4 linked regions of the Xenopus tropicalis genome follow. The protein of the gene in region 1 interacts with the protein of each later gene in a pairwise test. Links are inferred from orthologs where the notes say so. Each region holds a gene or a part of one and is shown in the gene's direction. Other genes may lie near its edges.

Region 1 (4,071 bases):
TGCCCCTTTCTATTACACCCAGTACATTCTTTGGATCTGCTCATTGTGCCCTAAACACTCCTCATTTTAGTTCTTCCCATAATTGTAAGATATTTATTAACATATTGGTGTTAGAAAATAGTACCAGGTTTGGTTATAATGATTCCCTTTTCTCTGTAATAATAAAACAGTACCTGTACTTGATCCCAATTAAGATATAATTACCCCTTATTGGGGGCAGAACAGCCCTATTGGGTTTATTTAATGGTTAAATGATTCCCTTTTCTCTGTAATAATAAAACAGTACCTGTACTTGATCCCAACTAAGATATAATTACCCCTTATTGGGGGCAGAACAGCCCTATTGGGTTTATTTAATGGTTAAATGATTCCCTTTTCTCTGTAATAATAAAACAGTACCTGTACTTGATCCCAACTAAGATATAATTACCCCTTATTGGGGGCAGAACAGCCCTATTGGGTTTATTTAATGGTTAAATGATTCCCTTTTCTCTGTAATAATAAAACAGTACCTGTATTTGATCCCAACTAAGATATAATTACCCCTTATTGGGGGCAGAACAGCCCTATTGGGTTTATTTAATGGTTAAATGATTCCCTTTTCTCTGTAATAATAAAACAGTACCTGTACTTGATCCCAACGAAGATATAATTACCCCTTATTGGGGGCAGAACAGTCCTATTGGGTTTATTTCATGTTTAAATGATTTTTATTAGGTTTAAGGTATGGAGATCCAAATTACAAAAAGACCCTTTATTTGGAAAACCTCAGGTGTGAAGCATTCTGGATAACAGGTCCCATACCTGTACTTTAGTGGATAAGGACAATGGCATGCCAAGATGATTTACCAAGCAACTTTTGCTTTGAGTGCTTTATAATGGCAAAAAATAGGAAAATTTTTATTTTTGTTAATTAAAACAATAGAATGTAATTTTAGCATAAGTCCTATTTGATGTGCTAATATTTAGCAAATATGTTTTTAGGGATATACTGTCCCTTTAATTCAATATCTCAAATGTAAAATATTCCCTGTTCCTGTATCCAACCATTCGGGTACATTCATTATATAGTAATAAATGCTTTATTAGCCTGTCTTTGCTTGTTAATCGATTAGCAGGTAATTCTCAGGCTGCACAGATACACACCCTGCCGGAGCAGATTTCTTCCTCTCCATACAAAACAATGGGATTCCACATAACTCTTAACACTGGCTTCTCAGGACTACGCCCCCCATAATTCCCTGGGCCTGGAGCTCAGCCAACTTATTTCCTGTTAGATCAGCTGCTCAGAGCGTGACTGAAGTTCTGCTCCCTGCAGCTCTGGGCACTGCTACTGGGTTCCTCGCAGGAGAAGCACCATGGCTGCCAGTGGGGCAGAGCTGAGTCTGCGGTACCGTGACAGGGTGGCAGTCATAACGGGGGGCACCAAGGGCATCGGAGAAGCAATGGTCAAGGAGTTTGGTAAGGATTCAGTTTGCTGCTAAAGTTTATAACTAAATCCCAATGTATCTGCCTTTTATTTATTATTGTGTATATGGGCAGTGGCATAAAGCAGCCCTGGGCACTGGGGTACCTGCATTCTTCTACTAGGGATGCCCCCAATCCTCTTTTTAGGGTCTGGCTGAACCCCGAATCCTTTGCAAAAGATTCAGCCGAATACCAAGCAAAGTAAAGGTTAAAGAGAAACTTCCATATTTACGTGACAAAACGTCATGGATTCAGATTTGGTTTGGCCAAAGGCATGGATTCGCCCAAATCCTGCTGAAAAAGACTAAATCTTGGCCGAATCCTGGATTTGGTGCATCCCTATTTAGCGCCAGTACCACACTTTTCTACTGGTTTAGTGCAGCGCCTCAATGCATTTATAACTAGAGTGGAGCCAAATGAGTAAGGCAATGGTTCTGAATCCAGTGCTCAAAGCTCAAAAATGGGTCTCTGTGCTTATAGGGGATTGTTACCATGACCCCTTCACATAAAGTGGCACTTTGCCACTTTACAACTGAGGTTTATGAAGAATTGTGGATAATGTATTTATATATACTGTATATATATATATATATATATATATATATATATATATATATATATATATATATATATATATATATATATGCTATGAACTGGCATTCAACAAATGCCCAATGTCCAAGTGGAACTAAAGTGCTAAGAAGCCAATGCAGCACAATTATAGTGATACTAAAAATGGATTGTGTTGAGAATCATTAAGGATTTCCACCAACTTTGTGGATGTGCCCATTGTTGCTCTAAAAGGATATGGAGCTAGCCTTAATTTCAGTATTTCAGCCAAGATGGTTTAACCCTGTCTCCTGTATTTATAACTAAGTCTATGATTAGTCTTGTTGGATGAAGCTTGCTGTTGCTGTCATCCTAGCGCTATAGGCCAATTAAAAACGAATCTAAAAATTAGAATCCAGATGTTGTTGTATTGATGCATTTTCAGCCAATATCCACAACTGAGTTCTGCCCTATGGAGTTTTATTACTACTTTTCTGTTAGATTTTGAGGGTCGGCAGGTTAATCACACCAACAAAGCTTGAGGTGGGAAGCAAGGGTAATGGCCCTCAACCCTGCACATTGTAGGGCCAGAGCAGCAGCTGTAGGTAAAAAGAACGGGGAGCAGAAGGAAGAGATGCAGACAGTTGCACTTTATATTAGCATTGCCCAATATATGCCCCTTGGGCTCTTTTCGAGGTATAACTGGCACCCACCTTATTGGGACTTATAATTCAATGACAGTCAAACAGTCACTATTGTATACATAGTGGGGCCCAGCAACATCTGTACATTGCCCTGGATGTGTTATTTGTTTGGCTTGACTTGGCAGAAGGACAAGTTACACATACATTTTGTTTGGTTGGGTTGTTCTGTTCAGCTCAAAGTCCAGAGGGCAGGATTTCTCCTGTTATTACTGTGGGGATGGGTTGTGTAGGCTCGACCCCCTCTCTGGCGCTCTGTCGTGTAGAATGTACTATACCCTTTATAATGACCCACGCAATACGGAGGTTATCAGCTTGCTTTGGGCTTTTCATATCTTCTTTACTTCGTTGACTATGGGGCTCATTCATCCAGACCCCCTAGTCTTTGGGAAGTAACTAAGTACCCACTATAGGGGGGGCATTACTGCTAGGTGTGGGTAATAAGGGACAGGTGACTGATTATTCTTTCTAGGAAATAGAAGAAAAGCTTTCTGGTTCGTCACACCAAGCCTGTTCTAATTGCAGTGCAAAGAAAGAGGGAGTCATAGTTTCTAGGTGCTAGAAGGACACAATTTGGGCCTCTCCTACCCTAAGGCTCCTGATCTCAGGCTAAACCAGTCGCCAAACATTGCAGCGTGCATCCACATGGCACTAATAGCAGCTTTAGGCCAGTGATCCCCAACCAGTGGCTCGGGGGCAACATGTTGCTGCCCAACCCCTTGGATGTTGCTCTCAGTGCCCCCAAACCAGGGAGTTATTTTTGAATTCCTGACTTGGGGGCAAGTTTTGGTTGAATAAAAACAAGATTTCCTACCAAATAAAGCCCCTGTAAGCTGATAGTGTGCATAGAGGCTGCCTAATAGCCAATCTTAGCCATTATTTGGCTCCTCCATGAACTTTTATGGTGCCTGTGTTGCTCTCCAAGTCTTTTTACATTTGACTGTGGCTCACGGGAAAGAAAGGTTGTGGGCCCTGCTTTAGGAGAAGTCCCCACTGTGGAGACAAAAGGCTCTCTCAAGCCCAAAATCCAATCCTGCTGCATGTATGTGTTACTATGGATCCTCAGTGTGTTACAATACAGCAGCAGCCATTTACCATAGATACTGCATGTATGTGCCTGTAGCACTGACTCTTTTCTCTCTTTTGTGCCCCTTCTGTTCGTATCTGCAGTAAAGAGTGGCGCCAGGGTGGTCTTCTGCTCGAAAGGTAAGGAACTCTTCATAGGAATCTCCCACGTCTTGGGGAAATGTGTCTTTTTCACACACACACACACACACACCAGACCAGTCTCCTATATCCCTGCCCCCCCTCAGCGAGCAACTGCTGGGTCTGCTTTCTCTGCTCCTACACCCTA
Region 2 (5,484 bases), on another chromosome or scaffold:
CTGTCTTTCTCACAGTATTAATACCAGGGTCCCCAAACTTTTCAGTAGGTCACTGATGGACTGCAGATCAAGGTCAGTAAAAGTGGACGAGGCCACCAACAGCTAATCAGATTTCATCCATTGAATTTTACTGTTTTTTTAATTAAAACACTCCCACTCACACTATTTAAGCCAGGGTTCTCAAACTTCAAACAGTCAGTCACTGGGTTGTTACAAATTTAAAGGACAATGAAAGGTTAATATAAATTAAAAGTAAGTCTAAAGGCCATTCTTTTTAAGTACTTACTGCACATCTAAATTCCCAGATCCCTGCTTGCTTCTCTGAGATATGGTGCTGGCAGCCTACAGCAGTGTGAAGACTACAGTGACATCACTGAAATCTCTCTCCCCTTCCTGTAGGTGCCAGCGGCAGCCTTCCTATTCTCTGAGCATATGTGTAACTTGATCCTGTCTGCTGTTCTGAGCTACACATGCCCACCAGCCAATCAGAAGCGGATCTGGCAGGGGGGGAGGGAATGAAACACATGTGCAGTATGAAGCAAGGAGGGAAAGGAAGGGAGAATACCTTTTTAGAGATGGCTGCCTGTTCTAGAAAATGTGAAGTAAGTGTGACTGAGTAAATATTTGATTAGGTGAGCCAAAAGTGTTGCGTTTTTACTAAACAATAGGAGGACTATTGGGCAGTATGCTTTTTAAATTTTGACTTGCATTCTCCTTTAAGGTTAGAAAAAGTCAATTACATTTCTTTCACTGGTTTCAAAATTTAAACTGCTGCCATTCTCATACGTTCACTGGGGAACTAAGGTTAAAGGTTAGCAAAACTGGGCGAAGCCACCAACAGCCAAATTAGAGCTCACATTGACTTTCACTGGTTTATATTTAAACTGATGCCATTATTTAAGCATTAATTCCAAGGTTGTTGAAATTTGCAAAGTTAGTCACTGGGTATTAGACTGAGCCACCAACAGCCAATAACTATTGACTTTCAATGGCAAAATGTAAAATGCTGTCAGTGCCACAATTTTTACGTCAGGGTCCCCAAACTTTGGACAGTTAGTCACTTAGTGACTGCAGTTCAAAAATAGAAAAAGTGGGCAGGGCAACCAACAGCAAATCAGATGTCATCCATTGAATTTCATTGGTTTATATTAAAATGCTGTCATTCTAACACTACAGTCATGTGACATTATGTCCAATTTGCCTTTTTTCTTCCCTTTTTTGTTCTGTTCCAATACACACAAAGGGAATAAACATGTGTATAGCAAAATATGTGTTACTGCAATACTTTTCTATGAGAAATACTTGATTTTCTGCAAAAATTTCTGGGGTGCCAACAATTTTGGCCATGTATTTATGCCACGGTGGGTGATGCCTATCTGTTGTCACTCATTGACTTTCAGTGGAAAAATTGATATTGCTGCCATTCTTGCACTATTAAAACTAGGGTCCCCAAACTTTGCACAGTGTTTTTTACTATATGACTGTGGTCCAAGGTTAGAAAAACTGGGTGAAGCCAACAACAGCCAATCAGATTTCATTCAGTGACTTCACATGTTTTTCAAAACAACATGAAGTTTGTTCTCAAGCTTCCTTTTCTAGTTCAAATTGCTATTTTTCAGTATCAAACAATAAGGGGATGCTTATAAGCCATGATGCCCAGTACTGTGTGTGTCAAATATTGGTGGACATTGCTTGACCACAATAGATATGACCATTCTCCTGTGTAATATGTACATTATCAGTGGGAGCCCACTGATCATATGTCAAAGCGAATAACGTGCTTAATGTGTAAGTAAAACGTTGTTCAAAAACTGCTAAAATATTGATTTCAACAAATATTTTTAATAATATTGGTATCCTTGTATATAAAATCGAGTTGAATTCGCACAACAACCATCCTTGATGGTTAGAAAACAGCCAAGCTTTTTAAACCAAAAATTCCTGCGCGAATTCGAGGCATGCGCAATACAGGAAACGGTAATGCACGAAATTGAAAGGACTGACGGTAGGTGCCCGTATTCCCAACTTCATTAAATGCTGCCTTCAATGCGTGCTGTTAGTTTTCATAATAGAGCCGAACACCGCTGTTCCCATCTTTGACAACACTTTACTCTACCCTCTTCTCTGGTTTAATTTTCCAGCCTATTGCTGTTCGACCAATCTGAACTTTTCACACAACTGCCAACTCTGCCGCCTTCTGCTATTTGCCTGCTGGTACAAGGCTGAAGGGGTGGAGCTGCAACACGGAGTTGCAAAAGGGCGGGCCTAACAAGCGCTACAGCGGCGTTCCGTTTTGGCGCAGGAAGAAGGAAGGCCTGTGAACTGACAAGTGAGAATGACAACTGTAGCATTACAGAGGGTATGGAAACTGTGTAAATACATACAATGAAATCTATAGAGGCGGAGAGGTGAGATAGAAATCAGAATACAAAATGGGAGAAGGTTGGGGAAATAGACAGGAGCACATGTGAGATCATGCAGAGAATAGCACTTTGGTAAAAAAAATAAATATTGGCACAAGAGCAGTACAAAAGTTGACACGAGACAAGAGAAATGATACGGAGAAAAACACAGGTTTATGGTGAGATATTGGTACCCTTCAACTGCCCAGGAAAACCTGGGTGATTTATGGTAGTTATGCTACTAAAGCAGTAAAAAACAGAAAATAAATACATAATAGAGCAGAAGGAGGTGGGAAAATACACAGTTTAAAGCTGGCCATACATACAAGTTTCGTAGGATATGCGGTATGTGTATGGGGGCTCAACGAGGTGACCGATATCGCAAAAGGCTGCGGATATCGGTCGACTCAGCGATCAGCCAAGTTAAAAGATTTTGATCGGGTGCCATTGCAGGTGCCTGAGCAAAATCTACGTTCAGGGCTGAATCGGCAGAAGGAGGTAGAATGTTGAAAGGTCTGTTGTTTCTCCCTCCATATCTGACGGATTCAGTCCTGAACGTCCGTGGAGGGTGGGAACGATCGAAATTGCTACATGTATGGCCACCACGTGTTAAAAGAAGTGTGAAGCAGAGTGAGAGTAGGCGGGTGATTTGAGGGAGAGATGTGTAAAATGTTAAAATTAAAGGGGCCCTCCACCTAAAAGAGTTTTTTGCATAATTCAAAGCAGCATTTAAAAATGTATGTTGAACTATTCCCATGAGTGTTGCTTACTTTGTATTGAACAATTTTTATGCATTACAGTGCATTCCAGGCGGAGGAGGTATGTGGCATAAGGTATCACCAAGTGATTTTAGCAAGGTCTCATTTTGTTTAACAGATGCCTAGAAAACGTCAGCGAGTACAAATATTAAATAATGCCCCCTGTAAAATGATCTTGCATGAAAGCACAGAAAAGCATGAAACTTCTTCATACAGTGAAGAGCAGAAGCCAAAGATCAGCAAATATTTCCAAAATCCTGGGATTCATCTTCTCTCTGAGTTTTATAATCAACCGTGTACTGAACTGGCCAAATCCTTTCTGGGACAGGTAATATAATGAGACAGAAGTGCTAAATATATATAGATATATGCATGATTTTGTGTGATAACAGATTTATATTTAGTTAAAATATAGACAAATGCCTGTACGCTCATGTATTGATTTAAAGGGGGATATATACCATAAATTTTTACAATGCACTAAACAATGTAAAATAGAAGGAAGTGCTTTTATTTTAATACCTTTGGGTTCAAATATGTCCATAACTGCTTGAAAACTGTGCTCTACCCAGACCTTATGCCAGCTTCCGGTTTAGACTCTTCAGTATATGGCTCAGAGCCGCCGGCCCAGATAGACTTCAATGACACCACCTCACCTACTTAAAGTGAAATGAATATTCATAGAGTGGGCGGGGCTTAGCAAGCTCACAGACAGTCCGTTCCTGCTCTACTCGCTTCTCCCCCCCCCCCCCCCGCAGCAACACAAGCAGAGAGACACAGAAGGAGGGAGGGGTTTTCCCTGCTGCTGTTGAGTAAAGCCTGTCAGTCAGTGCTGTGACCACTTCCTGTGGGAGACTGAAGGACACTCCCATGTCTCATTTGGCTCTGGCTTCCGACTGGAGAGCTTGTGTATGCAGCTCTCATAATGGCAGTTTTAGGAGGTAAAATGCTTTCAAAACATCTTTCTTTCTGCATCATTTCACACTGAGGAGGATAGGAAGGGGAGGGAGGATGAATATTATAACTGAATATGAACTTTATATAAAATGTCTCCTTTAAGGAATACTGTTGTTTACTTTAGTTAAAAAAGGAATGCATAGTATTGTATAAAGTACAATAATTTTAGAACAGAAATAATTTCCTTTATGGCAGGAATTACATAGTAACATAGTAAGTTAGGTTGAAAAAAGACGTACGTCCATCATGTTCTACCATAATGCCTATATATAACCTGCCTAACTTCTAGTTGATCCAGAGGAAGGCAAAAAACCCCATCTAAAGCCTCTCTAATTTGCCGCAGAGGGGAAAAAATTCCTTCCTGACTCCAAGATGGCAATCGGACCAGTCCCTGGATCAACTTGTACTAAGAGCTATCTCCCATAACCCTGTATTCCCTCACTTGCTAAGAAGCTATCCAGCCCTTCCTAAAGTTGTATAATGTATCAGCCAATACAACTGATTCGGGGAGGGAATTCCACAACTTCACAGCTCTCCCAGTAAAAAAACCTTTCCGAATATTTAAATGGAACCTCCCTTCTTCTAAACGTAGTGGGTGCCCTTGTGTCCATTGGAAGGACCTACTGGTAAATAAACCATTAGAGAGGTTATTATATGATCCCCTTATATATTTATACATAGTTATCATGTCACCTCTTAAGCGCCTCTTCTCCAGTGTAAACAACTTGGCCAGTCTTTCTTCATAACCGAGACCTTCCATACCCTTTACCAGCATAGTTGCCCTTCTCTGGACCCTCTCTAACTCAATCATGTCCCGTTTGAGCACTGGAGACCAAAACTGAATAGCATATTCTAGATGGGGCTTTACCTGCGCTCTGTAAATGGGAAGAATAACCCCCTCCTCCCGTGAATCTATACCCCTTTTAATACAGCTCAAAACCTCGTTTGCCCTTGCAGCTGCTGCCTGGCGTTTGCTACAGCCAAGTTCATAAGTCAAGGGTATAAGTGGCTTGCATATTTTTACATCCCAGGTGCATGACCTTACATTTATCCACATTAAATTTCGTCTACCACTTAGCCGCCCAGATTGCCAGTTGGAGATCCTGCTGCAAGAATGCCACATCCTGGATAGAATTGACTGGTCTGCAGAGTTTTGTGTCATCTGCAAACACTGCTACATAGCTTATAATACCCTCCCCTAAGTCATTTATAAACAAGTTAAACAAAAGTAGACCCAGTACAGAACCCTGAGGGACCCCACTGAGAACCTTACTCCAAGTAGAGAATGTACCATTAACCTTTTCCCTGCCAAAAACGTAGGTACTACGTTGTTTTAAAAAAGCAGTTATCTGCCAACAATGTAGTAC
Region 3 (5,543 bases), on another chromosome or scaffold:
TAAACATTAAATCACTTAACTATGGGTATTAAGGGAGAAAGGCTTTTTTAAAGCAGAGATGCGCCCAAACAAAAGTCCAGTTGTGTATCTAAAAAAGTAAGGGCCCTGGTGCAAGATTTACACCTGGCTCCCCCAACATCCTCTGGACTGGCCACACCCCACCCCACCTTCCAGGCGCCCCTAACTGCACCCTCCAGATGCATGCCATGCACTTACCTCAACTATCATTCTCCTAACCCAGGGATCCCCAACCTTTTATACCTGTGAGCCACATTTAAATGGAAAAAGTGTTGGGGAGCAACACAAGCATGAAAAAGTTTCCTGGGGGTGCTAATAAGAGCTTTAATTGGCTACTTAATAGCCCCTTTGTGGACTGGCAGCCAACAGAAGGCTCTGTTTGGCATTATACTGGATTTTTATGCAACCAAAGCTGGCCTCCTTACCAGAAATTTAAAAGTGAGCACCTACTTTGAGGCCACTGGGAGCAACAGCCAAGGGGATGGGGAGCAACATATTATCCCTGAGCCACTGGTTGGGAATCATTGTCCTAACCTCTCGCTGAGTGCCTCATGGTGGGCTGCATTCGTACCCCTTATACATCTCTAAAGAAGTTCCCCTTGTAGCAAACACACCAGTTGTACCAGTGCAGGGCAACAGTACTTTATATTTTAATTGCTTTAAAACACTTATTTTGGTGCAATGTACTCTGCAATGAACACAAACAGAGGGCAGACACTTAGGGGCTGATTCATCAAAGAACGAGTTTGAATCCCGAAATGGGTAAAATTCGGAATAGATACAATAATTTCTGATGATCGGAAATGTCACAAAAATCGTATTAGTCACGATAATATCGTATTGGCGATCCGAAAGTCACAAAATTTTCATAACCGAATAATTGAAAACGGCGGGAAAACCTTTCTGACTTTGTGCATGTTTTTGGAAGCCTCCCATAGGACTCAATGGCAGCTCCAACCTGGCCTAAGGAAATCACAATACCGAAGCTTGAATGAATCCGAAACTTTCATACTCGTTGCAACAAATATGATTTTGTCGCATAAATTTTGATGCACAGTACAAAAATGTCTAACGAATTGGTGAAAATACGCACAGTACGAAAACAACTAGAATTTTTGGGATTCGGATTCAAGCGTACTTTGATAAATGGGCCCCTTAGTATGTTCAATAAATGTGATATACAGCTGAGGCATTTTACAATATAAAGACACCTGGCTAAACATTAGCTACACATACCACACATACCATACACCTGTGCAGTTATTAAAACAGACTGATTGGGTACAAGTATGAGACTCCCTGATATTTCAGAACAGTAATTTTATCCTCCTTCTGTATATTCACCCAGCTGCCCCAGTGTATTATACATATTTCATTGCTTAAGGGATCCCTTATCCAGAAACCCTATCCAGAATGTTTAAAATTGCACCTTGGCCATGTCCCATAAAGTCCAGATTAAACAAACAATTTACACCTTGTACTTGATGGCAATTAATCTGCATAAATCCTAATTGGGGGGAATCAATCTTATTGGGTTTATTGATTCTTTTTAACAGACTGGTGATACAAACTGTGGAACGGTTCTTTATCTGGGATAGCATTGCAGATAACACTTTTTTCAGCTATATGTAAACATTATCCTAAGAGAAGCACTCTACTCTGTGTCCAGGTGCCTTGGTGCTAACAAAGTCTATAAAAGTACAGAAGGGCGGCACTCTGCAGCTCTTTAGTACAAAAACAGTATTTTATTGGTATCCAGCGTTCTGGTCACTCACCACCTGTGACCGAAACGTTTAAAATGACAGCGCTTCCCTGTAATAGTAGAGGTTCTAATAGTCAGTAGGGGCTGAGAGTAAATCCCATCCCTACACTTGTTGCCAGTCCTGCCCATCTCCCCGGGCTGTGCGCTCAGACAGGTCCCGGTGCCTCTGGGCGGAGGGCGGGCACTTGAGTTGGGGCACAAGTAGAGAGAGCGCTAGCCCGGCCTGGCACATCCCATACAGCAGGAGGGGAGGAGGAGGCCACAGCGATCCCATGGCTGACAAACACTATATAGAGGACGAGGCTGTACAAGGGGAAAAAGAGAACCAGGAATGGGGCTATGAAGAAGGTAAGAGCGATTCGCTAAGCGATTTAAACCCAGGCGCTGTGTGCGCATCGGAGCCCTCCAGTCCCTACGCTGCGCTCTCTGGCGCTACTTGCTCCCAAGCGTTATACCGGGGCTCTGCTATCTGATTGCCACATGGGTTAAACCTCAGCAGTAATAAACACCTGGGAGATTTGTCTTCTTCCCGAGTTAACTTTCCATCCCGTATATAAACTGACACTTTTGTTTAGAACTATTTTATCTGCAAATACAATGAACACATAGCTGCTGTTCCATCTTTCAGTTGGGCTCATACAGTGCATAGGTTTGGTGTATATAGGCACTTAGCACTAGTTGTGTCTGGGCACTGTATAGAGCAATCTAGGCTTCCCAGTGGGACTAACTGCCATCTAAGTTTGCTGGATATAAATAAGCTCCCCCTTCATTTCCAGGCTACTTTGTTGTCACATTACTGAGAGTAAGCTCATATAACATAACAGTGCATGGTGTAACATTAAAGTGATATTGACACTTTATGTCACATTATATATATATATAGAATCTATGATAAGCTATACTAGCAGTGTCAACAGCATCTTTAGAAGCTGAAGGGGGAGAATGTAGAAATACAAACAAACAAGAATAGGGCATGGTTTAAATCAAGCAGGCTTGAGTCTTATAGAATATAAATGATCAGTATAACTATAAGAGATTTAAGGAGTCATTTCCTCCATGGTATAATGTGCATAAAATTGGGCACAGACCAGGGTCAGACTAGGGTGTGTGTAGCCCACAGCTCCTCTGTAGCCCCTTTCACCCACCTGCTCACCCACCACTTTACACCATAGCTACAGGTTTACAGGTAGTGACAGAACCTACACTTCCCTCAGTAAATACATCGCTGACTGCTTTTGGCTTTGCTAAAGTGCTTAATAAATAAAGTTAGACACTGATACATCACTGTATACATAAGGGTGGGCTGTGGGGCACACAGGCCATCCAGACATGCAAGTTTTGGAACTCAGGTAGCCAGTGGGTGCAGGATGCAAGAGAGCTCTGTCCTTACCTCCTGCCCTACACTGGCATGGGGTGCAAAGTGAAGCGAAGTCCTGAACACAAGTGCTTACTAAATGAGTAGGGTCTTTGCAAATGAGGCCATGCAGTATTATTTTTAGTTAGCTTTTAGTCCCAAATGCTGGTATTGCTATGCTCTTTTTAAATATTTTGTTTGCAAGTTTTTTTTTTTAAAAATCACTTTTGCTTGTGTGTGTAAGGGTGAAGACACACAGAGCTACTTAGTAGCTACTTGTCATGGCTACTAAACTCCAGAAAATACCCTGCCATAGACAATACTGAGAATTGCCTCTGCTAAAACACACGTAGAGACAATTATCAGTAAATGATCAGCATTAGTGTCTTCACCCTAATCGTACCAAAGCAGGTTGTAGTGAATCCAAATCCTGGTAATTTAATATGGTTAATCTAAGATTAAAAGCCAGTATGTACTGGATGATTGTCCAGAAAGATACCGTTCCACTAATTAGTGCAATCCTATTATTGTGTCTCTGATAAGGGCTGATTACAGGGTGGACTTGGCGGGGAGAGCAAAACAGGTGGAGAGATCATCTTAATGTTATCTCTCAAGTAGATATATCTGCTTCTAGCAAACTCATTTCACAGGGTGGCAGTACATCTCAGCCAACCTGGGCCTAGGGGTTTATAGCCAGTTCTTTTAAAGGGATAACTACATAAATAAAGCTACACATGCTGTATTTTATATACAGAATTTCTGTTGCAGCTAAGAGCTTCAGCAGCCCTACAGTAGTAAATAGTGATGAGCAAGTCTGTCCCATGTCACTTCGGTGAAAAATTTGCAAAACTTTGAAAAGATTAGTGAAATGGCAAAAAAACTGTGAAACATGTAAAAAGGCACGCATCAAAAAATTGTTGCACCCGTCAAGGAAAAATAGTAGTAAATTGTTCCAGTGGCATAAGGGCTCTGGCAGGGCGCGGCAGCGCGATTTCCCGAAATCACGCTGCCACGTGTGCCATCCCGCCGGCGACTTACATGTTCGCCGGTGGGATGGCGGGTCATGGCAACTCGGGGAGATTAGTCGCCCGCGAACAGGGAGTTTTGTCGCGGGCGACTAATCTCCCCCGTGTGCCAGAGCCCTTAATGACAAGGTGGTGCAGCTGAAATCACTGTTTCTTTATCACTTGCTTCTTTTCTAAATCAACAAAAAAACATTTCATTAATTAAAAAAAGAACAATATACAGTGATGTTCATTTGTACACAAGTGTGGACTGCACCAGGCAAGCTTTCCCCTAAATACATGAAAGACGACCTAAATACTGACTTCAATAAATACTAGTGTAGCTATGTGCTACCATATGTGACTGTGTATGGTGTTACCACTAAATGACACCATATACATTGCAAGTACCATTGCACATGTGTACGTTGCATACACTGCATGTTCTACCATTTAACATTTTATTTTTTAACCAATAAATATATTTTTTTAGTTGTAATATTAGTGTGTAGGCAGCCATCTCAGTGCATTGTGCCTAATAACTATTGTTTCTTCAACTCAGTGTAACTGGAGGAGTCATGGCTGGACTAGGGGTGTTACTGTGCTATTCTCATATCTACAACTAAGTGGGGCAAGGGAGCATTTTAAGCAATGCAGATGTCAGGAAGCTGTTATCTTCTTACCTTCCCATTGTTCTGCTGATCGGCTGCTGGGAGGGGGTAATATGACTCCAACTTGCAGCTCAGCAGTAAAGTGTGACTGAAGTTTATCAGAGCACAGGTCACATGGCTGTGGCACCCTGGGAAATGAAGAATATGGCTAGCCCCATGTCAAATTTCAAAATTGAACAAAAATAAAAATCTGTTTGCTCTTTTGAAAAATAGATTTGAATGCAGGATTCTGCTATAGGAGCTCTATTACCTAATGCACTTTGTAAAAAAAAAAAAGGGATTCATTCTAAGCAGAATTGTCCCCTTGCATTCTGGGCAGTTTAGCACCATTTATGACAATGAACTAGTGCCCATTGTGCTGCTGAGGGCAGATAAGAGAGGATGGAGTGCCCCGTAACACTGACCTGCTTTAAATACATAAAAATGTGAAAAGGCATTTTGTTACTAAGGCTTTTCCCAAGAAGAGTTGCAAACAAATATTATACAGGATTTAAAACAAGATGTTGCAAGATTGACTAACTTTAGATTTATATCTTTATGGTGGGAATAAAATCATGAAAAAGCAATAGAAAGCCAAATATAATAATTTAAAAAGAAAGGTAATAATGTTCTTTGCTGCAGTCCAAGATGTCATGGGTCCTGCTAATTATTTCCTGTGATAGTTCTGATGGGCTCACAAATGGCCAAGTCCTATAGGCAGAATCAAGCACTGGAGCTGTTGGCATAAGGATATA
Region 4 (5,608 bases), on another chromosome or scaffold:
TTAGGGAGGCTCTGTGGGGGCCCCTGTGGATGGGGGTTAGGGAGGCTCTGTGGGGGCCCCTGAGGATGGGAGTTAGGGAGGCTCTGTGGGGGCCCCTGTGGATGGGAGTTAGGGAGGCTCTGTGGGGGAAGTGGCCGGCAGGGACACCCCCAGTCTGACCCTGATAAAGAATAACAAATGGGAGGATGTTCGGAACATGAATTAGTTGGCAGACACCGACCGTACGAAAATGACTCCCATTAATGGCCCCCAAGGATATAATCAGATACACACGGAGATTTTATCCTTATCAGATGGGAATTCTATAACCTGCGGTATCAGCTAAACGAGCGATCGGCCATTCAGAGCCCACACACCGGCCCAAGTTTCATGCAACTTTATCAGTAGGTGTATGGGCAGCTTTAGATTGAGGGCAATGGGGCCAAACGTACTGTTTAACAGCAGCTCCCAGTATCCCTGATGCCCTTGCGCTATACATGGGAGAGGAGACTAGGTTACTAACATAAAGCATCTCTGCCTCCATCTTGCCCTGTTGGCTGTGTCTGCGCTGAGGGAGCTGCCATGTAGTATTCCCTGTATACACACACACCACACACACACACACACACACACACACACACACACACTCACACTCACACTCACACACACACTCACACACACACTCACACACACACTCACACACACACTCACACACACACTCACACACACACTCACACACACACTCACACACACTGACACTCACACACACTGACACTCACACACACTGACACTCACACACACTGACACTCACACACACTGACACTCACACACACTGACACTCACACACACTGACACTCACACACACTGACACTCACACACACTGACACTCACACACACTGACACTCACACACACTGACACTCACACACACTGACACTCACACACACTGACACTCACACACACTGACACTCACACACACTGACACTCACACACACTGACACTCACACACACTGACACTCACACACACTGACACTCACACACACTGACACTCACACACACTGACACTCACACACACTGACACTCACACACACTGACACTCACACACACTGACACTCACACTGACACTCACACACACTGACACTCACACACACTGACACTCACAACACACTGACACTCACACACACTGACACTCACACACCACTGACACTCACACACACTGACACTCACACACACTGACACTCACACACACTGACACTCACACACACTGACACACTCACACACACTGACACACTCACACACACTGACACTCACACACACTGACACACTCACACTGACACACTCACACACACTGACACACTCACACACACTGACACTCACACACACTGACACACTCACACTGACACACTCACACACACTGACACACTCACACACACTGACACTCACACACACTGACACACTCACACTGACACACTCACACTGACACACTCACACACACTGACACACTCACACACACTGACACTCACACACACTGACACTCACACACACTGACACTCACACACACTGACACTCACACACACTGACACTCACACACACTGACACTCACACACACTGACACACTCACACTGACACACTCACACTGACACACTCACACTGACACACTCACACACTGACACACTCACACACTGACACACTCACACACTGACACACTCACACTCACACACTGACACACTCACACTGACACACTCACACTGACACACTCACACTGACACACTCACACTGACACACTCACACTGACACTCACCCCATGGGACGGTACAGGCTGCCTATAGGAAGCAGAGGCTGCATTTAAACACAAACAGCACGTCCCGCCGGAGGTGAAGCTAAGGTTACCGTACTGCTGACTCCAGCCTGACCCCCTCACCTCACACACAGAACCGCTAGTAGCCCCGCCCCTCCTTTTTAAAATTTCTCTCAAGACCCACCCATTCCTCTCTTTTTTTTTCTATTGGTTGCATACTCTGCGTCAGTCTGCGGGTTACCGCCTAGCAACGGCGAGCCCCTCTGGCAGCTGTCATTTCTATTGGCTGGAATGGCCAAGGAGGCGGGGCCTCGGCGTCCGGCAAAACCAATGGGCACAAAGAGACGACGGCACAACAGTTGCCTTTTTTAAAAAAAATAACACGCGTACCACGTGGGGCGGTGACGTCAGAGGCCGAAAACAAGCGACAGGCTGCGATCCGCCGCGACTCGGACTGCGCCCGTTGAAGGTTCTGACTGCGCGTCTCTCACCTGCCGGGCAGCGGGTCACGTGTTCAGCACCTGTGTCAGCGCGGGAAGGCGGGTATATAAGGTGGGTAAGGTGGGGGCTCTGTGTGTGGCAGGGGGAGCCGGCTGGGGAGCAGCAACATCATCTGTCACCGGCTGCAACAGTAACGGAAGCCGCTCTGTGTGTGTCTGGGGAACGTTCCCCTGACTGGCACCGAACTGGCGCGGCCCTCCTTCTCCGTGTTGTGACTGCCATTGACTTCTATCACTTTGTATTCTCCCTCCCCCCGACCCCTCCCTGTATCCCCCCGACCCTCCCTGTATCCCCCCGACCCCTCCCTGTATCCCCCTGTCCCCTCCCTGTATCCCCCTGTCCCCGACCCCTCCCTGTATCCCCCTGTCCCCTCCCTGTATCCCCCTGTCCCCGACCCCTCCCTGTATCCCCCTGTCCCCTCCCTGTATCCCCCCGACCCCTCCCTGTATCCCCCGACCCCTCCCTGTATCCCCCCGACCCCTCCCTGTATCCCCCTGTCCCCGACCCCTCCTGTATCCCCCCGTCCCCTCCCTGTATCCCCCCGTCCCCTCCCTGTATCCCCCCGTCCCCTCCCTGTATCCCCCCGTCCCCTCCCTGTATCCCCCTGTCCCCTCCCTGTATCCCCCTGTCACCAACCCCTCCCTGTATCCCCCTGTCCCCTCCCTGTATCCCCTGTCACCAACCCCTCCCTGTATCCCCTGTCACCAACCCCTCCCTGTATCCCCCTGTCCCCTCCCTGTATCCCCCTGTCCCCTCCCTGTATCCCCCTGTCACCAACCCCTCCCTGTATCCCCCCGTCCCCTCCCTGTATCCCCCCGTCCCCTCCCTGTATCCCCCCGTCCCCTCCCTGTATCCCCCTGTCCCCTCCCTGTATCCCCCTGTCACCAACCCCTCCCTGTATCCCCCTGTCCCCTCCCTGTATCCCCCTGTCCCCTCCCTGTATCCCCCTGTCCCCTCCCTGGATCCCCCTGTCACCAACCCCTCCCTGTATCCCCCCGACCCCTCCCTGTATCCCCTGTCCCCTCCCTGTATCCCCCTGTCCCCGACCCCTCCCTGTAATCCCCCCGACCCCTCCCTGTATCCCCTGTCCCCTCCCTGTATCCCCCTGTCACCAACCCCTCCCTGTATCCCCTGTCCCCTCCCTGTATCCCCCTGTCACCAACCCCTCCCTGTAATCCCCTGTCCCCTCCCTGTATCCCCCGACCCCTCCCTGTATCCCCCCGACCCCTCCCTGTATCCCCCGTCCCCCCTGTCCCCTGTCCCCTCCCTGTATCCCCCCTGTCCCCTCCCTGTATCCCCCCTGTCCCCTCCCTGTATCCCCCTGTCACCCAACCCCCTCCCTGTATCCCCCTGTCCCCTCCCTGTATCCCCCTGTCCCCTCCCTGTATCCCCCTGTCACCAACCCCTCCCTGTATCCCCCTGTCCCCTCCCTGTATCCCCCTGTCACCAACCCCTCCCTGTATCCCCCTGTCCCCTCCCTGTATCCCCCTGTCCCCGACCCCTCCCTGTATCCCCCTGTCCCCGACCCCTCCCTGTATCCCCCTGTCCCCTCCCTGTATCCCCCTGTCCCCTCCCTGTATCCCCCTGTCACCGACCCCTCCCTGTATCCCCCTGTCACCGACCCCTCCCTGTATCCCCCTGTCACCGACCCCTCCCTGTATCCCCTGTCCCCTCCCTGTATCCCCCTGTCCCCGACCCCTCCCTGTATCCCCCTGTCCCTCCTTGTATCCCCCTGTCACCGACCCCTCCCTGTATCCCCCTGTCACCGACCCCTCCCTGTATCCCCCTGTCACTGACCCCTCCCTGTATCCCCTGTCACTCACATCTTATTCTGTGTCACTGTGCCCCCCCGTCTGTGACATCTTATTCTGTGTCCCTTTCACTAAATCCCCATCACAGAAATCCTACTGTATCCTATCACTGATATCTCATTGTATTTCTTCTCTCTGACATCCCCCTGTACCTGCCCCGTTACTGACATCCCCCGCCTCTACCTGCCCCGTTACTGACATCCCCCTGTACCTGCCCCGTTACTGACATCCCCCTGTACCTGCCCCGTTACTGACATCCCCCGCCTCTACCTGCCCCGTTACTGACATCCCCCTCTACCTGCCCCGTTACTGACATCCCCCTCTACCTGCCCCGTTACTGACATCCCCCTCTACCTGCCCCGTTACTGACATCCCCCTCTACCTGCCCCGTTACTGACATCCCCCTCTACCTGCCCCGTTACTGACATCCCCCTCTACCTGCCCCGTTACTGACATCCCCCTCTACCTGCCCCGTTACTGACACCCCCCTGTATTCTCCTGCCACCCACACCCCACTGCCTCTCCCTGTCACTTACATGTCCCACTGTATGTACCTGTCACAGGATATTGAGAGTAGCCAGTGGTATGAAAAAAGCTGTGTGGCATCTCAGTTACCAAAACTTGGCCCTAGTTCCGCTTTAGTGATTATTCCTGGCGACACTCTCTGTAACCCTGCTGATTTGGCACAGTGTCCCGGGGGAACCTTCACTCTCTGCTTTCCCTCTGTGATTATATTATTCCCATCTCACAGCCCGTCACTGTTTCCTTCCTGCGTGCCTGTATCCTATCCAGGCCTTGGTCTGTGGGTTCAAGCAAATGCCAGAGGGGCTGCTGTAAGGTGCCATAGACACTCACTATTTATTGGGCCTATGGGGGGCTGTTTGGGCCTCTGTGTACTGAAAATCAGGCCCGGACTGGCAATCTGTGGGTTCAGGCAAATGCCAGAGGGGCTGCTGTAAGGTGCCATAGACAGTCACTATTTATTGGGCCTATGGGGGGGCTGTTTGGGCCTCTGGGTACTGAAAATCAGGCCCGGACTGGCAATCTGTGGGTTCTGGCAAATGCCTGAGGGGCTGCTGTAAGGTGCCATAGACACTCACTATTTATTGGGCCTATGGGGGGGCTGTTTGGGCCTCTGTGTACTGAAAATCAGGCCCGGACTGGAAATCTGTGGGTTCAGGCAAATGCCAGAGGGGCTGCTGTAAGATGCCATAGACACTCACTATTTATTGGGCTGCTGGGGGGGCTGTTTGGGCCTCTGTGTACTGAAAATCAGGCCCGGACTGGCAATCTGTGGGTTCAGGCAAATGCCAGAGGGGCTGCTGTAAGGTGCCATAGACACACACTATTTATTGGGCCTATGGGGGGGCTGTTTGGGCCTCTGTGTACTGAAAATCAGGCCCGGACTGGCAATCTGTGGGTTCAGGCAAATGCCAGAGGGGCTGCTGTAAGACTACTGGAACCTAAATGGCTCCCAGACTCCTACCTTTAACCCTTTCAGCCGTCCGTTCCTCTTCTTGA

What was found. The genes of interacting proteins can lie anywhere in the genome.
Region 2: the proteins of hsd17b14 (region 1) and mpg interact in binary tests that used the Homo sapiens proteins (3 or more experiments, as listed by UniProt). The two-hybrid records come from large-scale screens. The link is inferred for Xenopus tropicalis from reciprocal best matches to the Homo sapiens genes HSD17B14 and MPG.
Region 3: the proteins of hsd17b14 (region 1) and ca8 interact in binary tests that used the Homo sapiens proteins (3 or more experiments, as listed by UniProt). The two-hybrid records come from large-scale screens. The link is inferred for Xenopus tropicalis from reciprocal best matches to the Homo sapiens genes HSD17B14 and CA8.
Region 4: the proteins of hsd17b14 (region 1) and cdkn2d interact in binary tests that used the Homo sapiens proteins (3 or more experiments, as listed by UniProt). The two-hybrid records come from large-scale screens. The link is inferred for Xenopus tropicalis from reciprocal best matches to the Homo sapiens genes HSD17B14 and CDKN2D.

What each region holds. Positions count from the first base shown.
Region 1 is NC_030683.2:114,406,471-114,410,541, reverse strand, and holds the start of hsd17b14 (17-beta-hydroxysteroid dehydrogenase 14), read left to right. Parts: upstream 1-1,271; 5' UTR 1,272-1,358; coding exon 1,359-1,461; intron 1,462-3,887; coding exon 3,888-3,923; intron 3,924-4,071. UniProt on the Homo sapiens protein: Catalyzes the NAD(+)-dependent oxidation of L-fucose, yielding L-fucono-1,5-lactone, which rapidly converts spontaneously to L-fucone-1,4-lactone. Can also act on D-arabinose and L-galactose, with lower catalytic efficiency. Does not use NADPH.
Region 2 is NC_030685.2:40,629,446-40,634,929, reverse strand, and holds the start of mpg (DNA-3-methyladenine glycosylase), read left to right. Parts: upstream 1-1,975; 5' UTR 1,976-2,005; intron 2,006-2,141; 5' UTR 2,142-2,335; coding exon 2,336-2,359; exon of another isoform or gene 2,360-2,408; intron 2,409-3,278; coding exon 3,279-3,488; intron 3,489-5,484. UniProt on the Homo sapiens protein: Hydrolysis of the deoxyribose N-glycosidic bond to excise 3-methyladenine, and 7-methylguanine from the damaged DNA polymer formed by alkylation lesions.
Region 3 is NC_030682.2:116,895,149-116,900,691, reverse strand, and holds the start of ca8 (carbonic anhydrase-related protein), read left to right. Parts: upstream 1-2,034; 5' UTR 2,035-2,052; coding exon 2,053-2,128; intron 2,129-5,543. UniProt on the Homo sapiens protein: Does not have a carbonic anhydrase catalytic activity.
Region 4 is NC_030679.2:138,209,108-138,214,715, reverse strand, and holds the start of cdkn2d (cyclin-dependent kinase 4 inhibitor D), read left to right. Parts: upstream 1-2,099; 5' UTR 2,100-2,327; intron 2,328-5,608. UniProt on the Homo sapiens protein: Interacts strongly with CDK4 and CDK6 and inhibits them.